4 linked regions of the Arabidopsis thaliana genome follow. The protein of the gene in region 4 interacts with the protein of the main gene of each other region in a pairwise test. Each region holds a gene or a part of one and is shown on either strand. Other genes may lie near its edges.

The links.
Region 1: the proteins of AT1G68360 (region 4) and TCP9 interact in binary tests that used the Arabidopsis thaliana proteins (3 or more experiments, as listed by UniProt).
Region 2: the proteins of AT1G68360 (region 4) and TCP10 interact in binary tests that used the Arabidopsis thaliana proteins (3 or more experiments, as listed by UniProt).
Region 3: the proteins of AT1G68360 (region 4) and AT5G51910 interact in binary tests that used the Arabidopsis thaliana proteins (3 or more experiments, as listed by UniProt).

What each region holds. Positions count from the first base shown.
Region 1 is NC_003071.7:18,818,881-18,826,981, forward strand, and holds TCP9 (TCP family transcription factor), read right to left. Parts: upstream 3,010-8,101; 5' UTR 2,908-3,009; coding exon 1,837-2,907; 3' UTR 1,362-1,836; downstream 1-1,361. Other genes in the region: SSE1 (shrunken seed protein (SSE1)), read right to left, coding at 4,585-4,646, 4,747-4,808, 4,990-5,057, 5,132-5,696, 5,781-6,000, 6,291-6,348, 6,653-6,721; AT2G45695 (Ubiquitin related modifier 1), read left to right, coding at 7,163-7,185, 7,403-7,484, 7,568-7,650, 7,747-7,864.
Region 2 is NC_003071.7:13,217,629-13,226,260, forward strand, and holds TCP10 (TCP domain protein 10), read right to left. Parts: upstream 4,982-8,632; 5' UTR 4,442-4,981; coding exon 3,356-4,441; 3' UTR 3,350-3,355; intron 3,235-3,349; 3' UTR 2,850-3,234; downstream 1-2,849. Other genes in the region: EMB2785 (elongation factor family protein), read right to left, coding at 1-76, 271-345, 578-916. UniProt on the Arabidopsis thaliana protein: Plays a pivotal role in the control of morphogenesis of shoot organs by negatively regulating the expression of boundary-specific genes such as CUC genes, probably through the induction of miRNA (e.g. miR164). Participates in ovule development.
Region 3 is NC_003076.8:21,091,362-21,098,796, forward strand, and holds AT5G51910 (TCP family transcription factor), read right to left. Parts: upstream 4,531-7,435; 5' UTR 4,448-4,530; intron 4,342-4,447; exon of another isoform or gene 4,247-4,341; 5' UTR 4,225-4,246; coding exon 3,343-4,224; 3' UTR 3,205-3,342; downstream 1-3,204. Other genes in the region: AT5G51890 (Peroxidase superfamily protein), read right to left, coding at 1-368, 484-672, 762-974; AT5G51900 (Cytochrome P450 family protein), read right to left, coding at 2,320-2,586, 2,632-3,093; AT5G51920 (Pyridoxal phosphate (PLP)-dependent transferases superfamily protein), read right to left, coding at 5,841-7,435.
Region 4 is NC_003070.9:25,618,270-25,625,412, reverse strand, and holds AT1G68360 (C2H2 and C2HC zinc fingers superfamily protein), read left to right. Parts: upstream 1-2,819; 5' UTR 2,820-3,000; coding exon 3,001-3,735; 3' UTR 3,736-3,880; downstream 3,881-7,143. UniProt on the Arabidopsis thaliana protein: Probable transcription factor required for the initiation of inflorescence trichomes in response to gibberellin and cytokinin. Acts upstream of GIS, GIS2, ZFP8, and the trichome initiation factors GL1 and GL3.

The sequences.
Region 1 (8,101 bases), on a different chromosome or scaffold from region 4:
CCAGAGGTTAATAATCCAGATATTTGAAAACAGTAAATCGTTGTCCACCCCTTCATTGACATCTTGGTCGACATACCAATAGAATAAAGCAGATGTCGAAATCGTTGACTTGAAACGTGTGTCAAAAGATAATACGCCAAGTCTTTTGCGTTATTTCATTGTAAATAGGATACAATTATCGGCAAGTAAAAAAAGGAGAAGAATTATATATATTTAGTAGAATTTTATTAGTGACATAATAGATAACGATTTGGTTTCTTGAGCCTTTAACAACTTACTTTGAAATCATTGACAAATATTACTTCACATAACTTGAAAAAAGAACGAACAAGAAAGAAAAGAATAAGTACATAAGAACCCAAGAACATAAGAGAGGATTTCGACAAGGACGAAGCAAAATTCTAAATGATAAAAACAATTGAATACAAACAATTAAATTAAGGCTAAGAAACAAAAACAAAAACGGTGTTCTTCTGCAACATGAATCGTAGCAATTGTTATGTAAGCAATTTTGTGTTGTTCGCAAAATAATGGGCCTTAGTCCTAAATGTTATGTAAGCCCATACAACTTTTTCCCTTTTTTGGGCTTAATCAAGAAATTAAAAAAGCATTGGGCTGGTTTCCCGCTGTTTGATTTAAAACCTTTTTGTTTTTTAAGAAAAATAAAGGAACATTTATAAATTTATAGGCCAACTATATATAAAAATTAATGAGGTCCACTGAAATAAAAGAAGAGAACGACAAGTCATTTCTCTAAGTCCACGAGGAATCCTATAGCCAACACTTCTGGACCTTTTTTCCCCATCCACGGCCACCAAGTTGGTTTAGGCCTCCAATAATACATTTTACCTTGTGTTTAACCTTTTAAAGTTTTACTTCCTACATATCTTAAAAAAATATATAATCAACGGTGTGAAACGGAGAACCATGGTTTAACTTTAACCAACCACACTTGAATTATAAATCAAACATAAACAAAGTTATCTTATAGTAAATCCTGTCTGGCGTTGAGACCGTAGACAAGAAGAAAATATCTACTACTACTAGTACTAATTAAACAACGAACGAAATAGAATCAACGGTTAGGACAAGACGATGGAATTGAACGGTAAAGATTAGATAGACACAAGTATGACCCACGCCAGGCTGTTCCTTTATTTCCTTAGCGTTAAACTGGTGGTGCTGACCCAACTAGGCGTCCCTTGAGTGGGAAGCTTTCAGGCCCCACGAAACAACGCCGTATTAGTGGTACAATCAAGCTTACTAGGCCCCGCCAATAACACGGACGAGACTTTTTTCGCAAAAAGCTTTTGTAACACTTGTAAGAAAATGGAATCATTTGAAAAGTAATGCTACAACAATTTTAGGAAAACAACATTAGTATTTTCATTTTAGATAGAAATATTTATTTTGTTACAGATTTTAATAAAATCAAAACATCAATATCACAATTGTTGTTGAGTGGACCATGACTTAGAGAGGGCTTCAATAAATCTTATTTTGTAAAATTACAAAGACCAAAAAAGTCAAGACAAAGTGGTGAGCCCCCACCAAAAAAACGAAACGTTTCGAATTATGCTTAAGCTTAAGCTGGTCCTACTCATACGGACCACGTAGCTCTAACCATTTGGGGACCACACCCAACCTGGCTGCCTCGGAAGCTATGCGTAAGGTGGGAGCCGTGTGGCCCCTCTCCTCCTCCCTCCACTCTCTTTTTGGTGCGTGTTGACCCACTTCTGCCTAAAATCGAGGCCCACTTCTTAACACGTGCACTTCTTCATGTGCACACGTGCTTTTTTTCCGATCACTAATACGCCGCCGTTTCCTTTCTTTTCTTCAGTGGTTCGATGACCGTGCTGTTGTGGTGCTCATGAACTGGTGAAGCTCTTGTTTCTCGTATATCTCTAGGGAGAAGTCTCTCAGCGTGTGCGTCGTTGTTGTTGCAATTGACGATGAACTACCGGTTGTTACGCCTGAGCTTGAGCTCGGAGCCATAACCGACGTCGCTCTTGATAAATTCGAACCGCTAACGTCTGAAACGGATACAAAGCCGCTGCTTGGAACAACTTGTAAAGGAGGTGGTCTAGCCATCGTGGAAGCCTGTTGAACAGCGGCGACGTAAGACGACGGCGAAGCAGCGGCGGCGGGAAAAGCTAATAACTGAGGCTGATTCGACGGACCAGCGATTTGTGGAATCAAGAAGAAAGCTCCGACCGTCGGAATCATTGCGTTTGATGGAATAGCCCACATCGGATACATTCCTTGCGGCAGAAGTTGCTGAGCCACAGTGGATGATGCCAGAGCTTGCGGAGGTTGGATCGTTGTCGTCGTGGCAATTGGAGCTAAACCGGAGGAAGCTGAAACGGCGTCGCTTATGTCTATATACTCACTGTTAGAAGGTCGTTTACGTTTCTTCTTCATCAGATTTTCACCCATATCAGAATCAGCGTTCGTCGTCGTCGGGATTTTTAAGGTTCCGTTAACCGACATGGCGATGGCGGGAACCGTTCCCGTACCCGTGGCGGCTATAATCGCCGGCTCAGCGTTCTCCAACAACCACCGAATCGTTTCGCCGTCGGATTTGTGACCTAACTCTCGAGTTAATTGAAAAATCCTAGCCGCACACGTGGCAGGCATCCGTATCCTTCTCCCTCTTCCTTCAACCTTCGTGTGACGGTCTTTAGTCGAAGCTCTCTTCAATGGTGGTCCTGTCGAAGACGGTGGAGCTAAAGACATTGAAAACGACGGCATCACCGGCTCCGCCTTGGGCTCGAGACTCACTGTGGGATTTACTTGGAAAGGTCTTGAAGTTTCGACGTTTCTGACGCCGTTGATGATGGTTAGATCAACGGCTCTTAGAGTTTGATCTTTGCCTGCAACTTCTTCAAGCTTCTGAATTGTCGCCATTAAAATATAGCTGAGAGAAAACGGACGGTGGAGATGACGACGAGAGTTGTTAAAAGCGGATACAATGGGAAAGAATCGTTTTAACGGCGTTACACGTCCAAGGAGATTACTAAATGTGACTCGTCAGGATATATATATAGGAGCAGGAAAACAAGTGAGAATAGTATTCAACGCTTTTTGATGCGGGAAAAATCAACGGTCCTGATGTGTTCGATGAGCTTTAAAGAACCATTCCGATTGTACCACGTGAACAAATCACTTTCCATTGCTCTATCTTCTATCAGTATTATTATGGGACCATCTGTACAATGGGGTCCAGTAAACTTTATTTCTCTTTTCACAAAATGTTTTTCTTTTATTGTTTAGTAATATACTTGTTTTTTAACCTAAGAAAAGCTTCAAAATCCAAAATCAGAAACTCATTCTGGTTAGTACTTACTAGTTACTAGTACACTCCCAAATGAAATACCTAGCTTTGTACAAAAATTTCCATCGCTGATCAAATTTAACTTTTCTATGGTTGGAAAGATTTTCAATAATTTTTATTGGTTAGGCAAAAAAAGATTTACTTTAATTTTATGGAAAAAGCTGTAAGCCCATACTTGGGGTTGGACCCCATTAATGTAGGTCACAAGGCTGCGCCACCAAAAAGCTAATTAGTGTCTATGGAATAATCCTCTTTCCAGGATTCCAAAATCCTCCTATCGTCCGTCCTTTGATTAAACCGGTCACATACATATACGCATACTTATGTACTTGTGTACTTGTACAATCCGGATATTAAACATACAAACCGAACTAGAAATCAGATCAAAGTAATCGAAATGATTGTAAGTTCGACGGTAACTAGATGTAACCGATTCAAACTTATTTTGATTCGTTGGTACTTGTTTCGGGTTTGAACCACTAGCTATGCTACTTGTACATACGACCGACCAGAAAGAGGGACCGTAAGCACCAGAAAAGAAAGGCTACAAAACGAAAATGTGAATGTGGGCCTGAGCTGGACCCTACTCTCTTCAGTTCCACACATTGTTGAGGGCTAGGCCCAACTATTCGACCCCACCATTCCCTACCCACTCAAAAATCAAAATATTGGCGATAACGTGGCCTTGAGATTAACAAACAAACGGATCCGGGATTAGAATTAAACACCAAATTATAAACCGGTCAAACCGGTAGTAACCTTTTAGGCTTAAAAGTTAAACCAAGTGGGTTCCACCTTTTCCGATTACAGATTCGGGTCCACCACAGAGGGATAATGTTGTAATTTTCGCAGCCACCAACTTTTGCCTACCATCAGCATACCATTCATTACGCCAGCATCAATAATTTGGGCTGATTGGTAAATTTGAGGTTTTGGATTCCGATGTTTTTACTTTTCACTAACCACACAATTTCACATAAATAAGTGTAGTATTTCTTACAAACCATTTAATCTTTAATGATGCTTGTTTTATTCGTATCGGTCCATTTCTTTAGACATAGAGAAGCTTATCTCTTCAGATACATCTGTCTATGGTTATGTTCTCTACCTGTTGCAATAAACACAATTTCTAACAAAAGCCTGAAACCATTCCCTAAGAAATCTGTAGGAGCCTTTGATGATCTGAAAAAGCATTCCAACAATGGCAATATTCTTCCGTTGCATATAAACCATAAGTAAAACGCTTAACCTCACGATCCCGATATGTAAGTGTACCGTGACTGAGCTCCCTCCAAAAGCTCCACAATTTTCTCTGCAATTTCCATGAGAGAACCAAAATAAGGTCAGTAGATGGCAAGTAGACAAGACAATCAGTGATCTCGTGAATGAAATGAAAGCTTTAAAAAGTAAACCTGTGAGGAATCCGATCAATGGAATTAGTTCCAGCTTCTTTTGAGAGCTTTCCAGCTTCTGCCTGCAATTGCAAGACAAGCATATTTGATTTATTAGTAACCCGCGATAGCTTAAGCTTTAAGCCTAAAACCCAGGGATACCAAATCTAATATTAACATAAGAGCCAAGAGGAAATGAACCACTTCGGTTTCAATTTTTCCCATTTCAGAAAATGCCATAATTGAAACCATAAGAACACTCACCTTGTGTACTTGGTGAAGAATGGATCTCTCATGAGGTACAATGCCCATATCAGTTTTCGTCTCCTCAGCTGAAGAAGTAACAAGAATATGAGTTAAATCGGTTCAACATTACTGTTGTATTGAGGTCCAAGAGATTTCTAACCTCATCCTTTTCAGGTCCTGAGAAATGGACTTGCTTGCTCTTCTCTCCCCACCACTTCGAATTTGCAAGAAGACCCATCCCCAGTGTGTCCACAGAAAGCGATATAGCCCAAGGAATCCAAGATCGGACTCCATATTTTCTGATGAAAAGAACGTAAATGAGCGGTCTCGTTATGTAAAGAACCTCACCAATCGCAAACAACGCTCCATTAACACCCTTCTCAGTAAGTAGCTCGGACATCGTTCTTCGCCTCTCCTTGATCATTGGAGGCTCTATAACTGCTTGCTGATGTTGAATTCTTCGAGACCAACCGGGGGTAGAAGATGTTGTTGTTCTTGCATTCTGACCAAATGAACTTAAAGCAGACATCGCCCGTCCTTCCAAGTTCCATGGATTATGATGATTTTGGTTTCCAAGACCATGAGGCCCGAGATTTCTACCCGAATTACCAGCTCTATTTTGCGACTCGGATTGGTTAGAATCTTTCTCCTCATTAGGTGTTTCCCCTCCTTGAAGAAGCATCTTATACCCACTATTCCGGAACAAGGCTAACCTAATGACAGCCCTGAAAATTCAAAGTTTTCAAGATATCAAAATGCCAACTAAGTAGGTTGTGTAGATCCAAGTGATCAGAAGAAAGCAAGCTTACTTCATAGCTTCAGTGAGAATAATGTAGTTCCATTTTTTGTCTCCATAGAAGTGTTCAGCTGCCACTTCCACAACAGTTTCCAAATCCTTGAGGATGGCGATGAGTAGTGGATAAGAAAGGGATGGATCATTCCCGGAAGATCCAACATGGCCACGAGGTGTTGGAGCATTTTCAATTATGTGTTCATTTATCGTTGAGAATATGCCCAAAAAAGCCGTTACTACAAAGAAGATTACCAAAAAACTTCAATCACACTTCCATGAACACAAAACTGACAAAAGAAGAAAGAAAGAAACATTCTTTGGAACTTGAAGGTTCTAATGTTAAAGACTTAGGACACGAAACATGTGAGGAGGTACAAGTGAAGTATGTAATTTGAGAAGAACCGATAAAACTGAGTATAGGACAGTGTTCATTATTCAGACAAGAGACTTTAGGAGCTAACAGGGATAAAGGAAACAGTTATTCTAAGATTGAAAGCAGTAAAATGTTACCAAAGTATCACAAAACCTGCTTCTGGTCCAATCTCTGAAGCAGAAAACTTCTCAGGAAGCAGCCATGTCAATCCCTGCAACAAAACAAACATATTTGACGAACTATCAGCTGATGAATTCCACAACTACGAATTAAAAGATCGAACTGATTCAACTCTTAAATTTTTTCAAAGGGTTTTCATTCTTAAACCCAATAAATAAAAGCTTCGATTTTAAAACACAACCCTTCAAGCAAAAAATATTCAAACAAGCAGACGATGAAAAACTTAGAAATTGACACTAACGACGAGACGAAAACAAACCCAAATCGACAGAGAATCAGAACATAATCAAACTGGAAAATAAATTAAGGAGAAGAGTAATAAAAATGAATCTTACGTTGGCAAAGGATCCAAAGGATTGTACATACTCTCTATTTCTCCAAACCCATTGCTTATAAGCTTCCATTGAGCTTCAGATAGAGAGAAACAAAACTGAACTTTGCTATTTCTCAGAAGAAATTGGGAAACAACAAAATTCCATTCACGTTAAATCAATCTCTGATTTTCTTTCTCTTCCTGGTTGCAATTTTGCCGGTCGCTGGAAAAATATCAGGCACCATCTATTTTCTATTTTCAGTGACAAACTAGGAATCAATATCGTCCGTTGATACGTTACAGTTCCTGTAATCAACGGTTACGATGCGATAAGTAATTTTTTAACATAAGATGATGATTCATCGGGAAAAGTAATAGGCCTTATCTTGTAGTATATTTTTAGGCCCAATTAAATAGCCCAACATGTCTTCAACCTGAACGATGTCGTTTTACAGTGAACAACAACACCACACGAACGAACCCTAGAAGAGCTGGGTTTTGAATTTGGTTCCTCCTGCAAACATCAACGACGATGCAATTAACTCTTGAATTCGGGTACGATTATCACTTAATCTTTTCGTAATCGGAGTTTTGTTATTCGTAGCGTTTTTAGTTTTTACCTCACTAAAGTTCTGATTTTGACTTGGTGTCTTTTGAGATTATTTTCCTGATTGATTGTATGTAATACTGAAATTTAAGAACTTGAACCATGTGTGTGTTTTAGTTGTTGTTCAATGATTGAGAAGAGTGAAACTTGACATGTGATGTGTAGGGGTGGGTTAGAGCTGCTCTGTGATTCTGAAAAGATTCATAAAGTAAACGTTGATTTGCCCAATGGAGCTGACTCTGATGATGTAAGCTTGAGTTCTTATGTTTTTGGATCATAAAGCTCGCAATTTTTCTCTCACTCATTCCACTTTTCTGATTCCTGGATTAGTTTACCATGAAGCATTTGCTTTCATGGGTTCGTACAAATCTGATCAAAGAGAGACCTGAGATGTTCATGAAAGGAGATACTGTGTAAGACTATTTTTCTTCTTTATCAGCTCATTGTAGGTTAAGATTTCATTAAGACTTCTTTATTAAGCTCAATGAAGGTTAATAACTGTTGTGCAGGAGACCTGGGGTTCTTGTGCTGGTGAATGACTGTGATTGGGAGCTAAGTGGTCAGCTCGATACAGTAATCGAAGATAAAGATGTTGTAGTTTTCATTTCCACTTTGCATGGTGGATAAAAAGATCTGATTGTCTAGGATTTTGTAACAAATTTTGATACTTGTTGTTTGTAATCTCTACGACTACCCAAACTTTATGTATTTGTTTACTGGAAGATTGATATTAGAGTATTTATCAATTTTAAGTGTCCTTTCTAACAGATACTTTATGCGAATCTGCATATCTGTTTTCTATATTCCTCATTGAATTGCAGCAAACTCAACAATTCCATGAGCTTGGTCTCTTATTACGGATTT
Region 2 (8,632 bases), on a different chromosome or scaffold from region 4:
TAGTCTGTGCAAGAGGGCCTTCTCCAGCATCAACAACTAATATAGCTCCTTCAACCATACCAACGACTCGTTCAACCTATAATTCAAATACACAAAATAGTCACAAAGATAGCACCTATGTTCTACAGTAAGGAGTATCCTAATGTCAACAGACCATGAGTAGGTATTGAGAACTTCTAATTAATTTATCTTTTGTCCACTAATATGCATTTCTACTAAAAACGAGCATGAGAATCAAATAATACGCTAAAAGTAAGATCAGTATCATACCTCACCACCAAAATCTGCGTGACCAGGTGTGTCTACCATGTTAAGTTCGTTGTCCTTCCAAAATATTGATGTCACCTGTCGGAAAATTTGACATAAACTTTAAATGTCGTGTAACGTGGTGATAAATAACAAAATCTCAGGGAATCGGTAAAAGAACACATCAAGTTACAGACATAACAGAACAAACTGAGAAAAAAAAAAGAACAGAACATAAATATGCTTTGATAGAGTCTCAGAATCATTTTCAAACAGAACCATTTTCAAAATTGTGAAGTAACAATTAACTCTAATTCCAATCCAAACATACGAAAGGCGATACCTTTGAAGAAATAGTGATCCCTCGTTCACGCTCAAGATTAATAGAATCCATAGCACGCTCGTGAGGGATATCAGCACCACACTGACGAAGAAGCCTGTCCATAAGTGTTGTCTTCCCGTGATCGACATGAGCTATCACAGCCACGTTTCTTAGTCGATTAGGGTCAAGCGAGCTATTAGGAGCTCCGGCTGCAGCTGTGGAAGCGGTGGCTGCTGAAAAGGAGCGTAAGGAGGAGAGCGAGTATCCGAATTTGGAAGGTGATGAATGAGAAGAGAAGGATCTTCGAGTGGTGTTTGACCAAAGAGATCGAAGCAAAGGCCCCGCCATCTTTGTTCACGCGAAATGGTCTCTGATAGGGTTTTAGATCTAATCTCTGGTGACGATGACCAAAGGGTTTTTGGTCTAAAACTGTTTGGAATTTATTTGATCGTTATTTACAAAATAGGACATTATCACTTGTAGAATCTTATATTTTCCCTATACTTTTCAATTGCTTATATTACTCCCACAGTCCTATTTGATTATACAACCATGGCTTTTATAGTTTTATGTAGAAATTAAAACCTCTCATTATGTGATATTCGGTTTTTCCATTAATAATAGAAGTGATTCCGATAAGTTGATACATATAGCGAAGATGAACTGAGAATTTGACTCAGCTTATATGGATGAAGTGGTTTACATATTGTTATGTAATATTTGTAGGACGAAAAGGAGAATTCATGATAGATTTTTGCAAACTTTATAAATCTATTTATGATCTATCCACAAATGTTCTTAGAACTCTTTATTATTTTTTATTTGAGATTTGATAATATTTAATGTTGATCATATATATTGTATTATGGTAAAGTTTTGTTGGTATTTTGGTTTATGTGGATGATACCATATGATATTTTGGTTCTTTTTTGTAATTGACAATTCGGCTATTTAATTACTTCCAACTCAAGGATCTTGGTCATCTTCGGTACTTATCTATTTTGGAAATTGTTAGATAAAAAAAAAACCATTATGTTTGTCAACGCAAGTTACATCTTCGAGATGTTGTCTGATAATGTTTCTTTTGGTGGTAAACAAGGTCAATTCTCATATGCACCAAGGGACATATAGTTCATAAGATTGTTTGTTTCTTAAAGGAAGCATTGGACAAAGCTTGTTTTTACTTTGCTGCTCTAGACCTATATATTTGAGGTTTCACTGCTTATGACTAGGCAAGTTATCCACAATTTCGTATGTACTATGTATCTTGGATTTTATGTTCAATGAAAATTCATCCATTTCATTGTCTATCAAAGCTAAATACAAAGTTATGGCTCTTGGAATTTGTGAACATGTTTGGATTGCCTATATTATGTAAATATATATTTTGGTTTTATATTATGTAAATATATAAAGCATGCTTCTTATGCTCTCTCTGTGTACTCTACAGTGACAACACTTTAGCTCTTCATATTGCTCGGAATCTTATTTTCACGAAAAAAACTAAACACAGAGACATATATTTTCATATTGTTTGGCGTATCCGATATAGTTTTATGAAGGGTGTTTGATTTTGATTGTACCGGTTTGCTCTACCGCATTCCTGTCTGTTGGTTTAGGTTTGTTGGGTTACACTTACATATAGTACAATCCTTTTGTAACAAAACTGTAGATGGAAGTTGTAATCCTTTTGTTGAACTCTTCTAATAATCCAAGCACAATCCATAATCAAAAGGCCAAAGTAGTCATTCTCGCAGTAGATGACTTTTAAAAGTACGAACATTCTGTAGCTTTTAACGTCTTGTATAAAAATGATGATCATCGTTGGGAAAAATATTAATGATCATCATGTGACAACAAAGTACAAACTCCTTTAACCTAAATATATTATCATGTATTTCATCAAACCAAATATATGTACATATATATATACTATATGTAAAAGTGCCAAAAAGTGATAAATGTCATTCTCTATATAGCCCGCCTATCTATATGACTAAAACAATTATTTCAAGATGAATTATAGAAAAATCTTCTGTCAAACCCAATTAGACCAAGTAAAGCAGACTAAACTATCGAGATCCTTTGGTATCACTGTCACAAAGCATTGAATACTCAATAGCAACTTTTTCATAAAAATCCCAAATTTGTAATAAATTTGACTTTTCTATTAAATAGTCGCAACTTTTTAGCAAGCTAAGCTATATTACAAAAGAAAATTGGTATCTGCACAGATGATAATGAACACCTTTTTCTTCATTACTCATGTAATACGACCTATGCTTTTAACGTTCTTCAATTACTCTTTACTTAACCGAAGAAATAGAAACCGCAAGTAAAAACCAGAAAATTCAAACTCACTCGTAGAACAAAAATATGAGATTACAATATCCCAGCCTAACGCCAGTACTAAACCAAAACACACATAAAACCCATCTTTTCAAATATCACAATCTTGATGATCAATGCAAAGATGATAAGAAACAAACAAGCAAAATTGAATAATAATAACAAACACTAAATGAGTAATAATAGTCTTGAATCATAAATATATGGATAGATGGTAATACTAATTAATATAGCGCTTACTCTAGCTCCATTCATCACATTAATTTCCTCCTTCTTGTTCAATGCATGTCATCATGAATTTGAACCTCCATGGTTGTCTGAAAGAAATACATGTGGTAATTTAATTATGAAAGATTTAATTATTGTCTGGTTTCTTGATTAATAACCTATTATACTTAAAATATATAAATACATTAAAAAGAAGAAGCAAACCTTAGTTTAGAGGTGTGAGTTTGGAGGAGAAGAAGAAGAGTTTGGTTGAGTAGCTTCTTCTCCGTGGAGTAGTCTTGTAGTGTTGGGGAAACTAAGGCCTTGCATCATCATCATCCCATGAGAACCATACTGTGATGATGAAGCAAACATCGAAGAAGCTTGATTCTGATGATGATGATGATCCGACGTCGTTTGATGATGATCCCAAGAACGAAACGAATGAGGGAATAAACTGGACTGAAGGGTACCCCTTTGTTGTTGTTGTTGTTGGCCACCAAGAAACACTTGTTGTTGCTGACTATTAAGCAATGTCATCATCGACGGTTGATGATGATGATGGTGAGGATGATGATTCACCATGAAACCACCATTACTCCTTTCTTCTTGTTCTTGTTGTTGATGTTCTGATGAGGATGATGACGTCATAGTTAAGTCGTGATGATTCCATCCAGAGATTCTCCCGAACGTGTCGAAATGAGTCGTGGTGAAATTGTTGGTCTCGGGAACTACGACTGTGTTGTTGTTCCCTTGAAATGGGTGAAGAGAGAGACCAAGATCTTGGCTAAGGTTTGGTGGTGGTGTTGTTGTTCTTGAGACCATGTTGTTGTCATCCTGATGAGGGTAGTTTTGGAAATTGATGTTTGTACCACCACCACCGTTTGTTGTTGTCGTCGCCGGGAAAAACGTTTTCATTGCGTCTTCAGGATCAAGATTGGCCGCCACGAACTGCGTTTGGTCATTGTTCTCTCTTTGGAAAACCAAAGTGGGAGATTCCGGTTTAGTATTCACCGGTTCTTGACGAGTAGTAGTAGTAGTAGTCTCCCCGAGTTCAAGCTTATCAATAGCGGTTTTGGCTTTCTTGATGAGCCAATCAACGGCTTTGCTAGGCCGGTCATAACCTAACCGGTCTTGCACATCGTAGAATTGAATCGCCGTGTGAGCTGAGAGTCTCACGCGCCGGTCACGTGGACCCTTTGATGTGAACACTTTGCTATGACGGTCTTTGCGTCCAGTGGCTCGGATTATGTGACCGCCTTGAACCTCAACTATCTCTCCTCCTCCTTCTCCGACGCTATATCCTTTAAGTCCCATTATTTTTTTACCTTTCAAAATGACATTCCAAGAGTTGTTTTAACTTGGAAGAAAAACTTGCGTGCCGTTTTTGTTGCCCACTTGCTTTGTTTACCTCTTCAAAATGCTTGCCGTTTTGTTGTTATTGTGGTGTTTGGTGTGTAGTGAGTTAATAACATCTGATGCAGGCTGGACACAGCTACCTGAAAGCTGCTACAAGAAGCAACTCTTCTATGCAGATCCCCAAAAGATCTGCCATGGCAGTCACAAGATTCAATGACCCAACATACCCAAATCAAAAAAGGGAAAAAATGAAGAAATATTTAGAAGAAAAGAGATTGGAATCTTTAGTCTAGGGTTTTCCCAAAGAGATGAGAATTTGGACAACAAAATTGATATTAAAAATAAAAGAGCGAGAGAGAGAGAGAGAGAGAGAGAGAGATGCTACTTTAATATATTGATATGTTTAGTTGGTCTAAAATCGAAGGACAAGAAGAAGAAGAGGAAAAAAAAGAGAGAGAGTATACTATTAGATTGTTGGTGGAAAGGATAGCAGAAGTTAAGGGTTCAGAATAGGAAAGTAAACTAAATAAATACCCTTTTGCTTTCAACCTTTTGTTCCTTATTATAAGATTCCTATTTCACATATCAACATGTGTCCTTGTTAAGTTCTTAGCCACATATTTGTTTATTTCAAATTTTTTTGTTACAGAAAAATTCCTCAATCATTATTCTTCAATCATGCGTGCCATATCGAATTCTTGAAACATACATAACTATATATATCATATAATAAGGAATATAGGAAAATTGAAAAACATCAATAAATGAACATATATCATATCTTAGTTACACCAATTTGTAATATTTTGTTTGGTTAATGTCAAATCCTCCTTCACTAATTAATTAAAACTTGAAAAGCATATGTTTCACACAACATACACACACATTGGTCGGCTTAGGATTACATGCTAATCAAAGTCGACAATGGAATAATTTGACTCTAGTATGATTTTTTTTTTTGGTAAGCTGAGGGGTGGCAATTGCCTACCCCAATTTATTAAGAACAAACTACAAAAAATTACAATAAAACAGCTCGAGGGAACTCTGTTCCATTAACATCTGCGAGCAAAAGTAAACGGACTCCCTCTGGGCATGCATCAAAACAATGAAGCCCTAGCGGCAAGGTAAAGGCATAGTTTGCTAACCCGTCAGCGAGACGGTTAGCTTCCCTATACACGTGTGACACACGGACTAACCAGTCCCTCGTAAAGAAGCCTTGGCACAACCGTACCAGGAAGGACAGCGGATGAGCGTTGCTTACCCCTGTGCTTAAAAAACCCACCACCAACTTGCAATCCAAGTCTAACTCCACTCGTCGAAACCCCTTGTCCCACGCAATGAGCAGCCCATAGTAGGCGCCCCATAACTCGGCTAATGGCGCTGCACAAGATCCAATGTTTAGTGCAAAACCACCTAGCCACTCCCCCTGCCCATTCCGGATGGCCCCTCCTGCCGCAGCCAGCCCGTGATTCCCACGGGACGCTCCATCCGTGGTAATTTTCACCCACCCATCGCTTGGAACCTGCCACCTGATCATTCTTTCCACCCGCACACCATTAGGCCGGTTACCAACAGCACCAACATGTACTCTCCTCACCTCCTCCGCCATGTCTTTGATGAACTTCAGCCTGTCCCGACAAATCTTTCGTTCCCCAAACACATCACAACACCTCCACTTCCAAGCCCACCAAATTCCCATACCAAAAAGAGTAGGCCAAATCCCCTTTACTGGATCCATATTTGTAAATAACCACTCCAATAAAGACTGGCTAAAAAACTCATGATGTCGTCTCAGTGGCAGCAACCGACGCCAAATCGGTTCCATAGCGGGGCAGTCACGCAACACATGGAGTATTGTTTCCTCGGCTCCATTACACACCGAACATATAGCATTCTCACTCAAATGGCGCCGGACTCTCTCCACATTAGTCATGATCACATTCTGGCTCACCAACCAAATAAACACCCGTACTCTCTCAGGCGTGATCAGCTTCCAGATTCTGTTAAAGAAGCTCCCCATATTCGGCCTGTCTCCAACGTCACCTTGTAGGAGGGAATACGCAGAGCGGACTGTGAAGGCCCCATCCTGTGTACCCTTCCATGATATCTCGTCTCCATTACCCAGAAAAACCTGAACCACAACCGAGAGCAACCGCCTCTTAACTGTCTCTGGCAGATACAAACCCAGAATTTCCAGGTTCCAACCTGATCCCGGCAACCAATAATCGGCTGCCACCTTTATTCTCTCCCCCTCCGGTATCATATCAGTCCCAAGCTCCACCAACGGCTCCTGCAACAGCCAGCGATCCAACCAGAACCTTATTGTGCACCCATCTCCAGGCACCCATCCAACGCCCTTAACCACCACTTCCCGGAGCCCTACTGCCACACTTCTCCACGTGGAGGACCATCTTGGTTGTGGTTTCAGCCAGCTAGTATCTTGTACTCCACCCACTTTGTACTTTTTGCGAACAACCCGTGCCCATAAGCTCTCTTTATCTTGAAGCAGACGCCACCCCACCTTGGCTACCAAGGCCTTATTCATATCACGAGCAGACCGTAATCCGATCCCTCCCTCAGCTTTCGGCTTACATATCTTACGCCAAGATAGCAAGTGTTGTTTTTTCTTCTCCATAGTACTCCCCCAAAGAAAAGTTCTGGAGTATCTATCCAAAGTATCAAGCGTAGAGACCGGTAAAAGAATCGCACTCATTACATGAACCGGGATAGAAGACAGAACCGCTTTTGTCAGAGTGATTCTCCCTGCCAAGCTCAAAGATCGGCCCTTCCAACCCGCCAACCGAGCTGAAACTCTTTCCAACACTTCTCCAAACGTCTCCTTATTCATTCGTTTCTGTAAGATTGGCATACCCAAATACTTCCCCAGCTCTTTAGTGCAACCAATCCCACTCTCTTCACTTATCAATTGCTCCATTTCTCTACTCACATTGTGAGAAAAAAATATTTTCGACTTCTCTAGGCTGACTTTCTGTCCCGAGGCCTCACAGAACCGTTCCAACACCCGACGAATGATCCTAATTTGCGCTACCGAAGCTTCTGCAAAGAGAATCAAGTCATCTGCGAAGCAGACATGTGACAACTTCGACCCCCCACATGACACTGCTATCGGTTTCCATTCTCTCTTTCCAACTGACGCCTCTATCAAATGACACAGTCTCTCCAAACAGAGTACAAACAAATACGGCGACAACGGATCCCCTTGTCTCAATCCCCTAGCCGGTACAAAAGAGTCTGTTCTCTCACCATTCCACAGTACACTCATTGAAGGGTCTGTAACTCCTGCCATTATTCTGCTTGTCCAACCCTCAGACAGTCCAGCAGCTTCTAACGTTTCCTGAAGAAAATCCCATCTAACACGGTCATAGGCCTTTTCAAGGTCCAGCTTGAGTAACATCCAGCCTTTCCGCCCCTTCTTCCTCCTCATAGAGTGGACTGCCTCTTGTACTAACACAATGTTATCAATGCTCAAACGCCCAGGGATGAAACTCGCTTGGGCCGGCCCAATTAGCTTAGAGATGACATTCTTCAACCGGGTCACCATCATTTTCGTAATTATTTTGAATAAAACATTACATAAGCTCACCGGTCTAAACTGCTGAATGCGTTCCGGCTTGGCCACTTTAGCTATTAACACAAGCAGAGCATCATTCGTGGAAGCTGGTAAAACCCCTGTCTCGAAGAATTCCAACACAAATCTCGTCACTGAGGGTCCCACTGTCTCCCAACACTGTTGGTAGAAGACTGGTTGATAGCCGTCGGGTCCTGGTGCCTTAAACCGTCCCATACTCTTCACCGCACTAACCACTTCAGCCTTCGTAAAAGCTTGGAGCAACGCTGCCTTCTCCGCCTCTGATATGGATGCAAAGCCACCAGTTGGCAACATATTTCGGACTTCACTAACATCTTCCAACGAGTACAGCCGCTTATAATATGTTAAAGCCATAGCTTCCAGCTCCACCTTATCCGTCACCCACCTATCATCATCTCCTTTTAATGACTCAATCCTATTCCTCCTTCTGCGGATAATTGTTGAGGTGTGAAAGAAAGTTGTATTTCGATCACCCAACTCAATGTATTTCTCCCGTGACTTCTGAAACCACAAAGTCTCCTCTTGTTCCAGCACCAAAT
Region 3 (7,435 bases), on a different chromosome or scaffold from region 4:
TTGTAGTAAACATTGTCGAAAACCGAGGAAGTAGAGTCCAAGACTGTCCCTGCGTTCTTGCCTCGGTTAGATGTTCTCGGGCATTTCTTTTTCAAGGTTTGCGCGAACGCATAGTTCATCGAAGGATCTATGTCATGGAATTTGCTGAAGTTTTGAAGACGGGACTCGAAAGAAGAACAGTGAGAGAACCCTATGGTGTGGCCACCTGAGAGCGTAACCATGTCTTTCACCGACAAGCCTCTTGCTGCAAAGCTTTGTATCAGTTGAGAAACATTGAACGTTGGTGGTGGGAGATTTCTAGTCTCGTTGGCTCGTGAAATTGTCCCGTCTTTTCGCCCTTTCAGTACGCTCCAATAAGGACCACCGGACTAATAAATGTAAAACATTACACAAGGTAAATCAAACAGAACCAAATTTCAACCGTAAAAGAATTATATTACACTAATATGATCATAAAGGGACAACTCTTTTACGAAGACTCACCAGGGTGACCACATCTCTGGCGGCAATGGCGATTACATCGGCACAAGACACGGTACGAGGACAAGCCTTTTCGAGCTTTCTCTTAGCATCTTCGATCACGTAAAATGACCGTACTGAGATGTTTGGAGGACCATCCTTCTCAGCTTGGTTTGACCGTGTCGAATCTAGTAGAATGGACGCATCACATCCCTACAACAATCCAACCTTACTCAAAACTCAACTTCATATATAACTGGATCAACAATCAACTATCAAATAAAGAAGATCAAGATGCATACCCTGATGAAGCAATCGTGGAAGAACATTCTTAGGAGACGAGCAGGCACTTTGGGATCATACAAAGTAGCATTCCTAACAGTTTCAAGTATGATTTTTTCAGCAGCAGGGCACGATTGATCATAGTAATGAGCATCAAGAGCAGCTTCTGAGGGCTTAACTATCGCTAAAACCGCAAATATCATCGCAAAAATGAGTCCCTTCGAGAATGCCATTTTATGGTAATGTGTTTTGGGCCTCGAAAAGCACTCTTTGTTCTTGAAGTTGTTTGAGGATTTGATGAATGAGAAGAAGCGGGGACTATTTGGCTTATATAAGGAGAGAAATGAGAGGCTAATATTCTAGAAAATGTGTATGTGTATAACATATGCTTTAAAGTTACTCAAATTATTTGGAACAAACATGTATCTATTCCAGTATTCAAATTCTTTTCTCCCTAAAATCGTACTTTGAGTCTAAGCATGTACTTTGGTGCAGAAGAGCTGGACAGAATCTGTTTTTGGTAACTATTAAAAGAATCTATTAAAACGTTTTTTAAAATTTTTATATAAAATAAATGGATGTTATTGTAATTAAAATTTTACTTAAATATTTTTAGATACATTAATGGAACCTGGAAGTAATTTTCTTTAACTCAATTAATTTATAAAAATTGTAATTTGTTTTTGTTTTGCCACTTGAAAAAAAATATTGTAAATAGAATCTTGATGGTGCCAAATAAGGAAAGAACACGAACGGTTTAGAATACGGATGGTGCCAAATAAACCACATGAAAAGGTGGTTGTTGTGGTTATTAACTTAAGCTTAAATATGAGTAATGAAGACTAAAAATCAGATGTAAAATGGTGGCATTTTGATGTGTTCGTGTGTGTGTGGATAGAGTAAGATTGAAAATGAATAAAGAAGAGAATTAAACGAGAAGATGGTCAAAAAAGGGTAACTACTGTTGAGTTATGCCTATCAGTGTTTGGTTTCAATTGCCTTGGCTTCGCAGTACGGTTGGTGAAGGATTTTGTGGTACTATTTTTTTTTCTGCATCTTTTTTGTTTTGCTTCTCACGTGTACGGCACTATTTGCATTGTAGTTACGGATATTATAATAAATTTTTTTGAAGAAAATTTTAAATTAGAAAATTACTTATTTTGTCAACAATGAGAAAAAAAAAAAAAAAAAAAACAAAAAAAACTGGATACATAATTTGGATACGGTTGAAAACAAAGAAACAAAATTTTTTGTTACGGTTTAGTTTACTTTAGTTTCGGTAGAGAAGAAATGGTTTCGTAATTCGTAGAAATAAAAATGGTACAGTATAATAATTGAAACAACATTTCTTTTTTGATTTCATCAGTTTACTAACTCATGAATTATCATTCTTGGATCGAGAGTTACATTCTTCTAAACTGTCATTGAAATCATTAAAAAACCATTACTATAATTTGTCTACAATAAAAACTAAACCTCAAGGTAGATCACACTTAAACTTGTCTCCTTATTAATACTCTTAATTAGGCTATGGTTTCGAAATAGAACTTAAAAAAGAACTTGATTATTTCACTAATATCAAGATGAACATCTCTTGTTAATCTTAACCTTAAAGCCATGCTTCATTTTAAGAATTAAACTAGTATCTGGCTCAAACTTCTGCCCGTTGGCAACCTTGATGTCATAGTTTTGTAATATCTCCACCGCCACAATCTTCATTTGAACCATAGCTCTTTGTTTACCATGGCATATTCTCGACCGGCATTGAATGCTAACTCTCCGGTCTCGGAAATCCATCTCTCTGGCTTGAATTCTAATGCATCTTCTCCCCATACAGCTCTCATCCTACCCACCACCCCATAAATAAAGACCAAAATCTTGTTTAAGTACATCTTTGTTTAAGTACTCCATTGGATCACAAGATGGTCTCTCTTGGCCACTACAACTTCTTGGTAGATTCATGTCAATCTCTTGGCGAATCTTGGTCACCACTAGAGGGTTTTCGGACAAAAACCAAAAGAACCAAGTGAGAGCAGAGGCAGTGGTATCTCTCCCAGCTAGAAGTAAAGCAAAGACATTGTCTCTTAAGAATTTATCATTGATAGGATCCAAGAGCTGGTACTGGGTTGTATCAAGCTTTATGTGAGATGTCAAAAGATTTGCATGACTATCTCTAATGAAATGATCATTATTATTCACTTGTGATCTTTTTACCTCTTCTCTCCTGGCTGATATGTATTTCCCACACACTCGATCAAAAATGGCACCAGCTTCTATCATCTTCTTCTCCATCCCAACTCCGATCCAGCTTTGTAGCTTCCACGAGAATCTAGGTTTAACGTGCCTATACATTATTCCTTCTACTATTGTGTCGAGAGCTTTAGCAGACTCAACCTCTGGCGTTTTAGCAGACTCATTTTTAATCTCATTTTGATTTATTTTTTAAAAATGATAGGATAGTTCCATTAATTACCAAAATGTTTGACAGAAACATAAAATTGAAATTGTGCTCCCAATTCTTTTACAAATCTTACTTAACCTAAATCAGGAATCAAACTTACTAAAAACTAAAAAGAAACTAGAACTAAGAGTTAAAATTCCTTAAGTCTCATGACATGAAGACGGAGATGAGTTCCCTGAGCCACCCAAAAACTGAAGCTCTCTCTTATCATAAATCTCCAACGAAAAATCCCTCAGCGGTTGCGTCGTTCCGCCACCGCTCGTTTCCATCTCCGCCTCAGCGTCTGAAGCGTTTGAGACATAACTAGACACCGGTCTAGCACCAACATTCAGAAACGGAGCTGTAGCAACGGTAGGAATAGCCCACATTTGGCCCATTTGATCCGGCCCACCAGTAACAAACGCAGTACCCATACCCATAGGCCAAAACGGCACAAACCCCTGTGTATTAACGTTCAGGATATTAACGCCGTAGTTTGACGCCGTTATCGGAGCTAACCCAGAAGTAACGGAGCTATGACAGCTGTCATTAACGTCTACGAAATCGCTCGTACAGTTTCTCTTCCTCCGTTTCTTTATTAGGTCACCGTCACCGTCACGGCCGCCGTCATTCAACACTGGAGAGCTCGTCGGGATTTTTAAAGTTCCGTTAACCGATACAGCAATAGCCGGTACAGTTCCGGTTCCGGTTGCTTCAATTATCGCCGGTTCAGCTCGTTCCAATAACCACCGTATCGTTTCTCCGTCGGATTTGTGACCAAGTTCACGGGTCAATTGAAAGACCCGAGCAGCGCAACCCGCCGGCATTCGGATCCTCCGACCTCGTCCTTCTACTTTCGTGTGACGGTCTTTAGAAGTCGGTCTCTTCGGAGCCGGTTTAGTCTTCACCGGCTGCAAATACCCGTCTTCTTGTTTCATGAGCATCATACCCGGTTTGGTTTTCGGATTCGGGTCAGACAGATGGGTCATGGTTGTTACTTGGTCAATCACTTGTATCGCGTTGCCTTCGTGATTCGATTCCATTTACCACAAAACCCTAGAATATCTGAATGTCACAAAACTTCAAAATCAGCCGAAGAATTGATTCAAGTAGGATATAGTCAAAATGTTTAGTTTTTACTGATTCTTTTGACGAAAAATGTTATCTGTTTGAATTTGACAGATTGAAAACTAAAGAACAGTGGATAAAAAAAAGTGAGGAAACCCTACAAAGGTAGAAAAATAAAATTAAAAAACCACAGCTAACCTTATCCTCTGCACGAAGAACCCTACAAAGATGGAAGAAGGGGCCCTCAAGATCATCGTTTTTATTTTTATATAGTCCCATTACAAATCAACGGTCTAGATCACATACTTCATATGGGCCTGTTTTAGCTAACTAATGGGCCTTGGCCTCGACCACATCACAAGAGTCATGTTGTGGAGCTAATTTTTTTTTTTTTATTGATAGTTGTACAGTTGAACCGGTTTCCATTTAAGAAGTGAACCAAACCAACCGAATTGGACAAAACCGAGCCATAACTAGGGCAATACAAAACTTAGCTATCTCAAAACTGAGTACTATTGACAAGTGCAGCTTATGTTCATTTCTGAGTATTATTGACAAGTAAAACCATTATTGTCTTGGTCTGAATTCTATCACCAAAACGACTAGTCTCTATTTTGATAGCATGTTACTGTTTTCGTAAAAACCAATTTGGTGTACCTAATCCCTTGTTGATTTTGTTGTATACAAGGTTGAAAAACTTTGGTCCCCACGAGAAGATTGGAACTGCGTAGTAAAACAAATAGTGCATGATTTACAACACCAAGATTCCAAACTACTCGGTAAATATTCTTGCAAGCTTAGGGTAAGCTTTATAAGAAATGATGGCAACAAAAAATGTCAATTACTAAGCATGACTCTCGAAGACTAGAGTATGAAGCTTGGAAATAAGGTTTCACCCGCCAAAAAGAAAACAATTCACTATTCATTATTTAATACTATATTTATAAGTTAAAATTATCAACATTGGTCATTTGTAATAATCTTTTGATGTTGACTACTAAAAAAATAGATTAAATAAAAGTATTATTCCATATTTTTATAATAGATTGATGTTTGGGATTTTTTCACATATTAAAAAAAAAACATTATCTAATCATTAACATTTTTTATATTAAATATTTTTAAGTTTAATTATGAGCTAATAAAATTAAAAGTTTAATTATTTTCAATCATTGCATTTTGAAATTTAGTATTTATCATACTAAAAATAAAAATAAAAATAACATCTAGAAAATCATTTGTGCAATAAATTTTATAAAATCAAAATTTTTAACAACCGAAGAAATATATAGCTGATATGGGTTTATTTTAGTTATTGGGCATTCATTTGCCCCGTTCATATCTACTTGACATCTAGGAATGAGCGAATTGTAAATAAATATATATGAGCTACCTTTTTTCGAAAGTTAATTATTTTTTTTTGAATCAGTAGCAAAATCAAAATTAGTGGGAGATAGAGGTGCTACTTGGACGCTAATGTTGACGCTGACTTTGTACTGAACAAAAATCAAAATTTTCATTGATACTTGAACCGGTTCTGATGTAAGAAGTGAACCAAAGCAAACCGAGCCAAAACTAGGCTATATGTTAACTAGACTACTTCACGGTTCTTATGTTCAAAAACATGAACTCCACATCTCACACTCTCTTTATCAACAAACTCTGAATCCAAAAACCGAGCAACGAATATCCAAAGTTTATAAACATCTTCGAAATTAGCAAGAAACCCTAACGCAGCAGTGAGAACAGAGATCCTTGGTTCGTCGACGTCTCTGTTTCTTTTCTTCTCAAAAACTCTATCTTTCACGCCTTCGTAGTCTTCTTGGAACAAGATGTTCTTCAAGAAACTTTTACCGAGTGAGATGTTGCTGCATTCGGCTAACTTCTGCACGATAAAAGGTTCGATTTTTTCGCCTTTATGGTTGAATAGATTGAACGCAACCGCTGGTCCTCGATTGAAATTAACTTTCGGACCGTAGATTTTAACTAGACGACTAGTTGTTGAATGTTTGAGTTTGTAGAGAGCACTTACCAACCAATTTATCAAGCATCTTGATCTGTTCCCTGTTGCTACCAACCCTAGTGAATCTACATGATCTAGGCCTTTGTATTCGACACTAGAGCTAAAGCTATATGTTTCTTCCGAATCTGTTTGTGTTCGGTTGATTTCCAACGCGTGTAATGAAATCGGATTGTCGGTAGGTACGAGGTTAATCATACCTGGACCAGTGGAAGATTCAAGAATCGATATGGTGGATTTCTTGACAAACAAGCAACCAAATCCGGAAGGGTTTTCTCCAAACACCTTGTAGAACGAACACACCATGAAATCGGGGTTATATATAGAAAGCCCGAAACTATCCATATCCTTAGGTCCCAAACCGCATGCATCGATCATTACATGCCACCCATTTTCTTGTGCCACACTCATCCATAGATACGGATACCTAGATCCTGTAACCCTAGAATGAAGCGGAAAGACGTAAATACCTTTCTTCTTCGTCTTGCTTCCGTTTTTCCCAGCAGTAACCAGTTTTCTCAGCTTGGACGAACAGAGTTTGAGTCTTGGCCATGAGAATTCAGCTGCAGCTACTTTGGCTCCACGTTTCTCAGAGACTCTGTTTATTTCACTCACCGCCTCACTCTCGTAGTCGTAAACCGTCAAGAGCTTCCGTTTTGAGTTAAACGGGTAAGACTCGGCGACGAGCCTGAAAGCAGAAGTTCTATTAGCGGTGAAGACCATTGAGTAGTCTTCCTCGGAGATTTTGAGAAACCCCATTATTCTTCTTTTCATTGAGTACTCAAACTCTGTTTCTTGACCTCCATCGTTGAGAAGCTTTTCCTTAAGGTTACCAATCTTGGGAGAAACACTGAAGAAGGGACTTTCAGACAAGGAAGAAGAGATCTGGTAAGTGGAAGGGTCGTAGTTGAGCAACTGAGAGTAAGAGTACAAACCAATTCCTATGTAATCAAGACATGTGTAATGTGATAAACCCAAGTGAAAGTAGTGGTCGGATCTAAGACGGTCGATCTTGTAAGTGTCGGAGTAGTTGGGGTAAGCTTGGATGAAATCGGAGAAAGATTCTTGATGAGAAGGAAGAGAATTTGGGTCGGTGAATTCGGTGTCCGGGAAGATGGTGGAGACGGTGGTTTGGGCGAAATTACGGCGGAGAGTAGCGGAAGTGA
Region 4 (7,143 bases):
AACTCGAAATTATTGGTACCATAGTTGAATTATGTGCAGCTATAGTAATTCATTATAACTCATTTAAAAATGTTAACCATAGATGGTAAAATAGTAATTTGTGTTTGTAGAATTGCTACGTTCCCATTCAAGTTTAAACCCATATAAAACATTTTTTTGAGAGAACAAAATTACGTGGTAAAACATGTTCAAAAATAAAACTCATTTTTTTATCTATAAACCTAAAAGATCTCTAACATGAGTTTTTATTAATTTATTAAAATGATCGATAATAATTAAAACTCGGTAATCTATAGATTTTAGGGGTTAATCTTCTGTTAAAAAATTACTTATTATAATATTAATATATACATATATATATATATATATATGTTGCAATTTTTTTTTTAATATGTAAATACACTATAACTAAACTCACAACTCACTTTGAAAGCAAACTAAATTATGATAAGTATAAAAGAATTGCGTTGACAATTTTTACCTTAGGCCCCAAAGTGTGGTACATGCAAACATATATTTCTAATATAGTCATAATTAAAGACATCCTTACTAGATGTAAGAAAGTAAATTGCAATTATAGTTCATAAATTTAAGTTATTTGACTTTCATTAAAATTTTGAGATCGTATCTGAAAATAGATACGCACGATAATGCGACGGAGACACGTGGGACACACAGAAGTGAGATGTGGGACTTTTGTTCCTTTTTTATTTTCACATCTTCAATTAGATTCTCATGTTTCTTTGTCACACATTTCAAACTTTTTGGCTTCTGGGTCACTTCAGATCACATCCCACATTATGATTTGTCTTTTTTTCTTTCTCTTTCAATTAACGAAGCAATTTTATGTTTGTGATAACATTTGTTTGCATCTACTCTATCTTGACTTTACTAATCACTTTCCGTCTGTCGGCATCTTTTTACTTTGTACTAATACATATTTTGGGTGAAATTTTAAGTAAAATATGAAAATACTAATTTAAAAAACATAACTGTTGTTCTAAATTTTTGGATGGTTTTAGAAAAAGTTTTTAATTAGTTTTCTACATATATATATTAATTTAATTTAGCCAACTACAAAAAATAAATAAAAAAAAATTGTTGATTAAACGACTTTGTAAGTGATTAACTTGATAAATACTTAAATTTTATGGTCAATTGCATGAGAGTAAAACATTAAAAATACTTAAGATTTAACGAGTTTTCGGTATAACAATCGGTACATTTCGTGGGGACTCTCCCCTCTAAAACATCAACTATAAACTTTGGATTACAAATTCTGTAAGTAAGTCACTTTCAAATCATCATCTGGGTTACAAACCAAGTCGAGATATGGAATCAAGAATTAAAAAAAGAGGAACAATAGGTAACTAAAGAGATGGAATATCAAGACAATAGGTAACTAGAGAGATGGAATATCAAGACAAAAGGAGGAATAATGTATAAGTTAAAATGTTTATGGTCTCTCGACTTACATATGGTATTGAAATTTGGAAGTTACAATAATTATACAAATTGGATGTTATTCCAACTTAGGTCTAGGTATCACGGGACTTTCTTGAGTAGCTTTAGAAACTCTCTCATTGTATTTGTAGGTTAATATAAAATGACTTAGTCTACAGACGACAATACATTCTTAGCTAACAAACAAAATATCCTAAAAATTATTGACTGCTCTAGATTAGATTACCAACTGTCCGGATCAAATTTATTTATAAAAGAAATTCAGATTATATATATTTGTTTTATTCTGAGAAAACGTCAGATGTTAAAGAATCAAGAAAGACCCGTTACAATATCTTGTGAATGTTTGTTCCTTTCGTTTCATTATGAGAGCGCAACAAACTAACACACTATCATGGTCATATTAGCTTATGTGAACAAGAACATAAACTTATGTTTCCGACGTTTTAGTTGGAATTGATAAACAAAATTGGAAAGAAGTCAGAGTTCTAGGAGGAAAATGAGTACTTTATATCTAGGACTAGTTTGATATATAATTCAATATGTTTATTATGGATGAGTTGTTTTGAGATTTAGGCGATTGCATCGTAGAAAAATCAAGTTTTTTTTTGTGGGATATAAAGAGTTTTTTTAAGAATTTGTGAATCTTAAATTAGATTAAGGAGCGCTAGTGTCTTAAACATTAGGTGTACCTCCATGAAATTAAATCTACTAAAACATTTGCCATTAACAAATCTCCGAACTTAGTATGTTGCTGAGAATATATTTGCATCGTAGAAAAATATGTTCAAAAAGTTTGCAAAACAATAAAAAAATATACCAAAACAAATTAGTCTATACAAATTTTTTGTGGTAAATTAAATCTCTCATAGTTACATTTAAAAACTTCTTTCACTTATTTTTAATTTCAAAATAAATAGCAAAATCAAGTTCGTAAATAACATAATTTACATGAAACGCATAGAACGCATCAAATCAATGGTTTTTTACTTTTTTTTATTAATCATTTAGAAATTTATTTTTAAAAAAAGATTTGTAATTTTTTTAAAACAAGTATGTCGTAATTATTATTTTTTGCTTCAGAATCACATTAAAAAGTAGGTGGAAACATATGAATTTTCCCGAAGAGAACTAGTAAGAATAAACACATAAAAGTAGAGCCAAACTGAAACTTCCTTTCACATGAAAAAAAAGGAGACAAATGAAATCCAATAGGGTCCCATTATCCATGTCGTCTCGGTTCGTGTGTTCCTCAAACTCCCACTTTCACTGTTCTTTTTCTTTCTTCTTGGGATGTCCGAAAAATAAAACAAATACGTAGAAAACAAAAACCAAAGTTAATCACACAACAATCTCTCATATCTTTCACACAACACACACTTGCACAGTGTCTCCCATGTTACTGTACAAAGTCACATCTCAGTTTATATAAATATATGCCCTCACTCATCAACCTCCTCTTATTATAAGCCTTATTCAACATATCTCTTTCTTTCTTTCTAATTCTCTCTCTCTCTCTAAAGACATACATATTTAATGGAGGAGCTGGATTTTAGTTCAAAAACAACAACTTCTCGTCTAAAGCTATTTGGATTTAGTGTTGATGGAGAAGAAGATTTCTCCGATCAATCAGTCAAAACTAACCTATCTTCTGTATCACCGGAACGTGGCGAGTTTCCGGCAGGATCTTCCGGAAGAAGTGGCGGTGGTGTACGAAGCCGAGGCGGAGGAGGAGGAGGAGGAGAACGTAAGTATGAGTGTCAGTATTGTTGTAGAGAGTTTGGTAACTCACAAGCCTTAGGTGGTCACCAAAACGCTCACAAGAAAGAGCGTCAACAGCTTAAACGTGCTCAGCTTCAAGCTACACGAAACGCAGCCGCAAATTTCTCAAACGCTGGATCAGCGTCTCAGTTTTTAAGGAATCCTATAGTCTCTGCTTTTGCTCCTCCGCCTCATCTTTTATCATCATCCGCCGTGCCTCAGCCTATGGGAGGTCCTTGGATGTATCTTCCACGTGTTTCTCCATCTCAACTTCACGTGTCTCATGGCTGCGTCATCCAAGATGGTTCGGGTGGTGCGGGTGCTGGTGGGTTCTCGTACGAGTATGGGGCTCGTGATTCAGGGTTTGGAGTAGTTGGGGCTCAGATGAGACATGTTCAGGCCCATGGGCCGAGACCATCGGTTAATGGGTTTTCAAGAGAAGTAGGAACTACTTTTGATGATGGTTTAGGGTTGGATTTGCATCTCAGTCTTGCACCTGCTGGTCATTGACGTGTTTTTTAAAGCTCTTGTATATTTATCAACATTTTAATTAATTTATTTATTTTTAGTGATTTTTTTTTTCTCTATCAGTATTTTTAATTAATGACTTTAAATTCCAGTGATTGTTTGCCTAATAAATATTTTACTAGTTTAGACTCCAATTATGCTTTACTACCACAAAAAGTAGAGTCTCAAAATGCTTAACCAATTCATGAAAAAACATTCCAGAAGGTAATATTTGTTGAGACTCCAAGAAAAAAATATAAACAATAGGACCAAAGACTAAAAATATAAAAATAAACGTTAGGAGATAAGTTGTCAGGTGCACTGAAAGTGATTTTATAGAATGTATGTTTAAACACATACAAAATAATAATTCCAATATTCAGATCCATTAGATCAATCGTTTTTCAAAGCCTTTTTATTGTCAGGCCAATAGAATGCAAAGATGAGTATGAAAACTCTACACCTTTACTCACAAATTTGCTTCAAAATTGTGCTTAAAATTAGTCAAAAGGGACACGCTGCAACCTTTTTCGGATTGCGTTTGAAATTGATACGCCTTCAAATCTGTTCTGAAGTCCTTTTTTTTTTGGACAAAAGCTGTTCTGAAGTCTATGCACAAATTACTTTTGGAATTCTCACAGTTTTGACATATTGGTTTTTAGAACCAAAGTATAGAAAATTATTACTTTAGATTCGAAAATTGTTGGTAGGCCTCTGTTTTACAACAATGGAAAAAGTTAATCTACAATTAGCATCGTAGTAATTATGTACAGCTTTAGTGAGTTTTGGTCTATGGTCTTGTTAGTCGATTACACAGTTTTGTTAGAATTAAATTTAGTAGATTACCCAATTTGGTTAGAATTAAAATTACTTCTCTAACACAATTTGGTTATAATTAAAATTTTCTCATATTTAGGGATTGTAGGACCACTATAATCTTTTGGTCAATATGATTCAACTCCAGGTTTTCAAAGTCAAATACTCTCAAATCTTCAGTTAATTATTCCCTTTAGGAGCATACATGTAACCACTAGCAACGGCTATAAAGAGAGATGTCAACATACATAGAGATAGAGTTTTGGTATGTGCAATCTACATGCATATACAAACCCGGGTCGAAAATACAATTTTTTAAATGATTGTGACAACGTGATACGTTTTCTTCGACTTTAAATATCACTAGGCTCCTATATATCTCATAATTAAGGCATACAGGTACTTATATAATGGAGGTATCTTACACTATGCTAACATTTTGTTTATTCTTAAAACATATATTTTCTAACGAATGTGGATATGTAATACCAAAAGAAGAACAATTTTTAATAATAAAATAGCTTACCTCAACATTTAGAAAATACTACATGTCACAAGCTAGGAAGAATCCTCGGGTCCCCGAATTTGAAATTATAAAATTAATTTAATTAACAATCGTATACTAATATGTAGGGGGTATAGGTATACCAGCGCATTTCGTGTTTCAACATGAAATGGGATCCTAGTCACCATGAGCAAATAAAATATACATGACCTAAAGCATATTTGTTTTTTAGATACTTAACAATGCAATTGGCACATATGTATGTGTCTATGTGTGTTTATAGTAAGGTGTGATGGGAATTGGAGCAGTTGAGTATTTATATACTTATAAGTTTAGAAAGTAGTTTTGAACATTGCTTGGTTAGAAACTTTTTTTTTGGTTTATTGTGTAGTTAGACACTTAGATGATGTGTTGGGGTAAAATTTTAATCTGCACGTAAAACATTTCTCTACCGGTCAGGGAAAAGTACGTTTCCATTATTTCAGAAAAGTTATCTTCCAAATTTCTCAATTAGAGAGACGTCATCATTAATTAGTCGACGATCCTACAAAACTCAAATTATTTTTCCCACTGAATACAAAAAACAAATATGATGAATTGTGTACATATACATTTCAAGTGTTATCTGTGTCTTTTTTTGTTACGAAATAGCTATCTCATCCGCATCATCGAAAATTCTGCCTTTAACCGCGTAGTCTCACTCGGGTACCAAGAATCCAGCGAATATAGAGATTTTCTTTGTCAATATTTCCATACAAGAGGATTCTCTTAAACATTATTGTTCTATTCTTTTCTACTTCTCTTCTCTCTTTTTTTTTGGGTGGCATTCTACTACTCTTCTCTTAGCAATAGTCTTTAATTTTTTTTTTTTTTTTTTTAATCAGTAAACTTCACCTCAAAAAAATAACAATATTAAGTGTATGTTTCATGTTTGTATATGTAAAAGGTACTTTTTTTGGAGGGAAAGTTTTTTCGTAGTCCCTAAACGTGCTTTTTTGCTGCACCATGTGTCCTTTTTAAGGAATCATCTAAGTCCTTATCACACCATCAATCATGCAATATATACACCCTAATCTAAAAGATACCCACTAAATTTTTTGCTCTTGAGGGTACGTCTTATTTATGCTTTTGCTTTACCAGTCTGACAATTACACATATACATTGCATATAATCTCATTGGCTTACAATATCAAAAACATTGGATCTTCAATAATGTATCATGCATGCACATATGCATCACCACCTAACAAAAAATCGAAAATAATAGAAAACAATGATTTCGGCTTTATTATACACAGTCGCAGTAGACAGTAGTCTAGACTTTTAACCCTAGCTATATTCTCCAATAACACATGGGAGAAAGTATAATGTTTTGTATGGTCCTCATCATGCATTAGGAGTCCACTTGTATCATACATGCGCTAGTAGTTATTAATTTTGTTCACGTTAAGAAAATACCATAATTTGTGTAATATTTTTTTTTTAAAGATAAACGAAATTCTCTTCCCCTTATCTTTTTGTTTAATTTGTAAGAAAATTTGTTAAGTTAACTTGTAATTTCTAACTGATGTTTCGAATTTTTTTCTAACCCACTTTTTTTTTTTAATCTAAGTTAATTTTTTTTATAAAAAATATTTAAATTCTCTTCCCCAAAAAGTATTTTTAAAAACTAAAAGATTGATATAATAATTTAACTTGGTAGTTTAAATAAACGAAAAATAAATAGAAAATATGATTGAGTATCTGAAGAACCATTATCATATAACTTCTATGCGTAAGCTAATCGATTTATTTCGGTTGATGGTGGATTAGCGGAAGCATGGAGTCAGGCCGTTGTGTTGGTACAAGTTATTTAACACATGTTTTGTTTCCTTTTACCTCTTCAGCTCCTCTAAGAAACCAAGAATTAGTTGTGGGTATAAGAGTAATGTGGAGATAGGTTAGTGGTTAAAGTACGTTGTGGTAGGTTAGGGACAAGCACTAATATGACAATTCAGATTCCATCTAAGAAACACGATAGGGCTTACGTGGAAAGTGATACGGACATGTGAAAGCAAGACAATCCCTAGGGTTTAGCTTTTGTTGACATG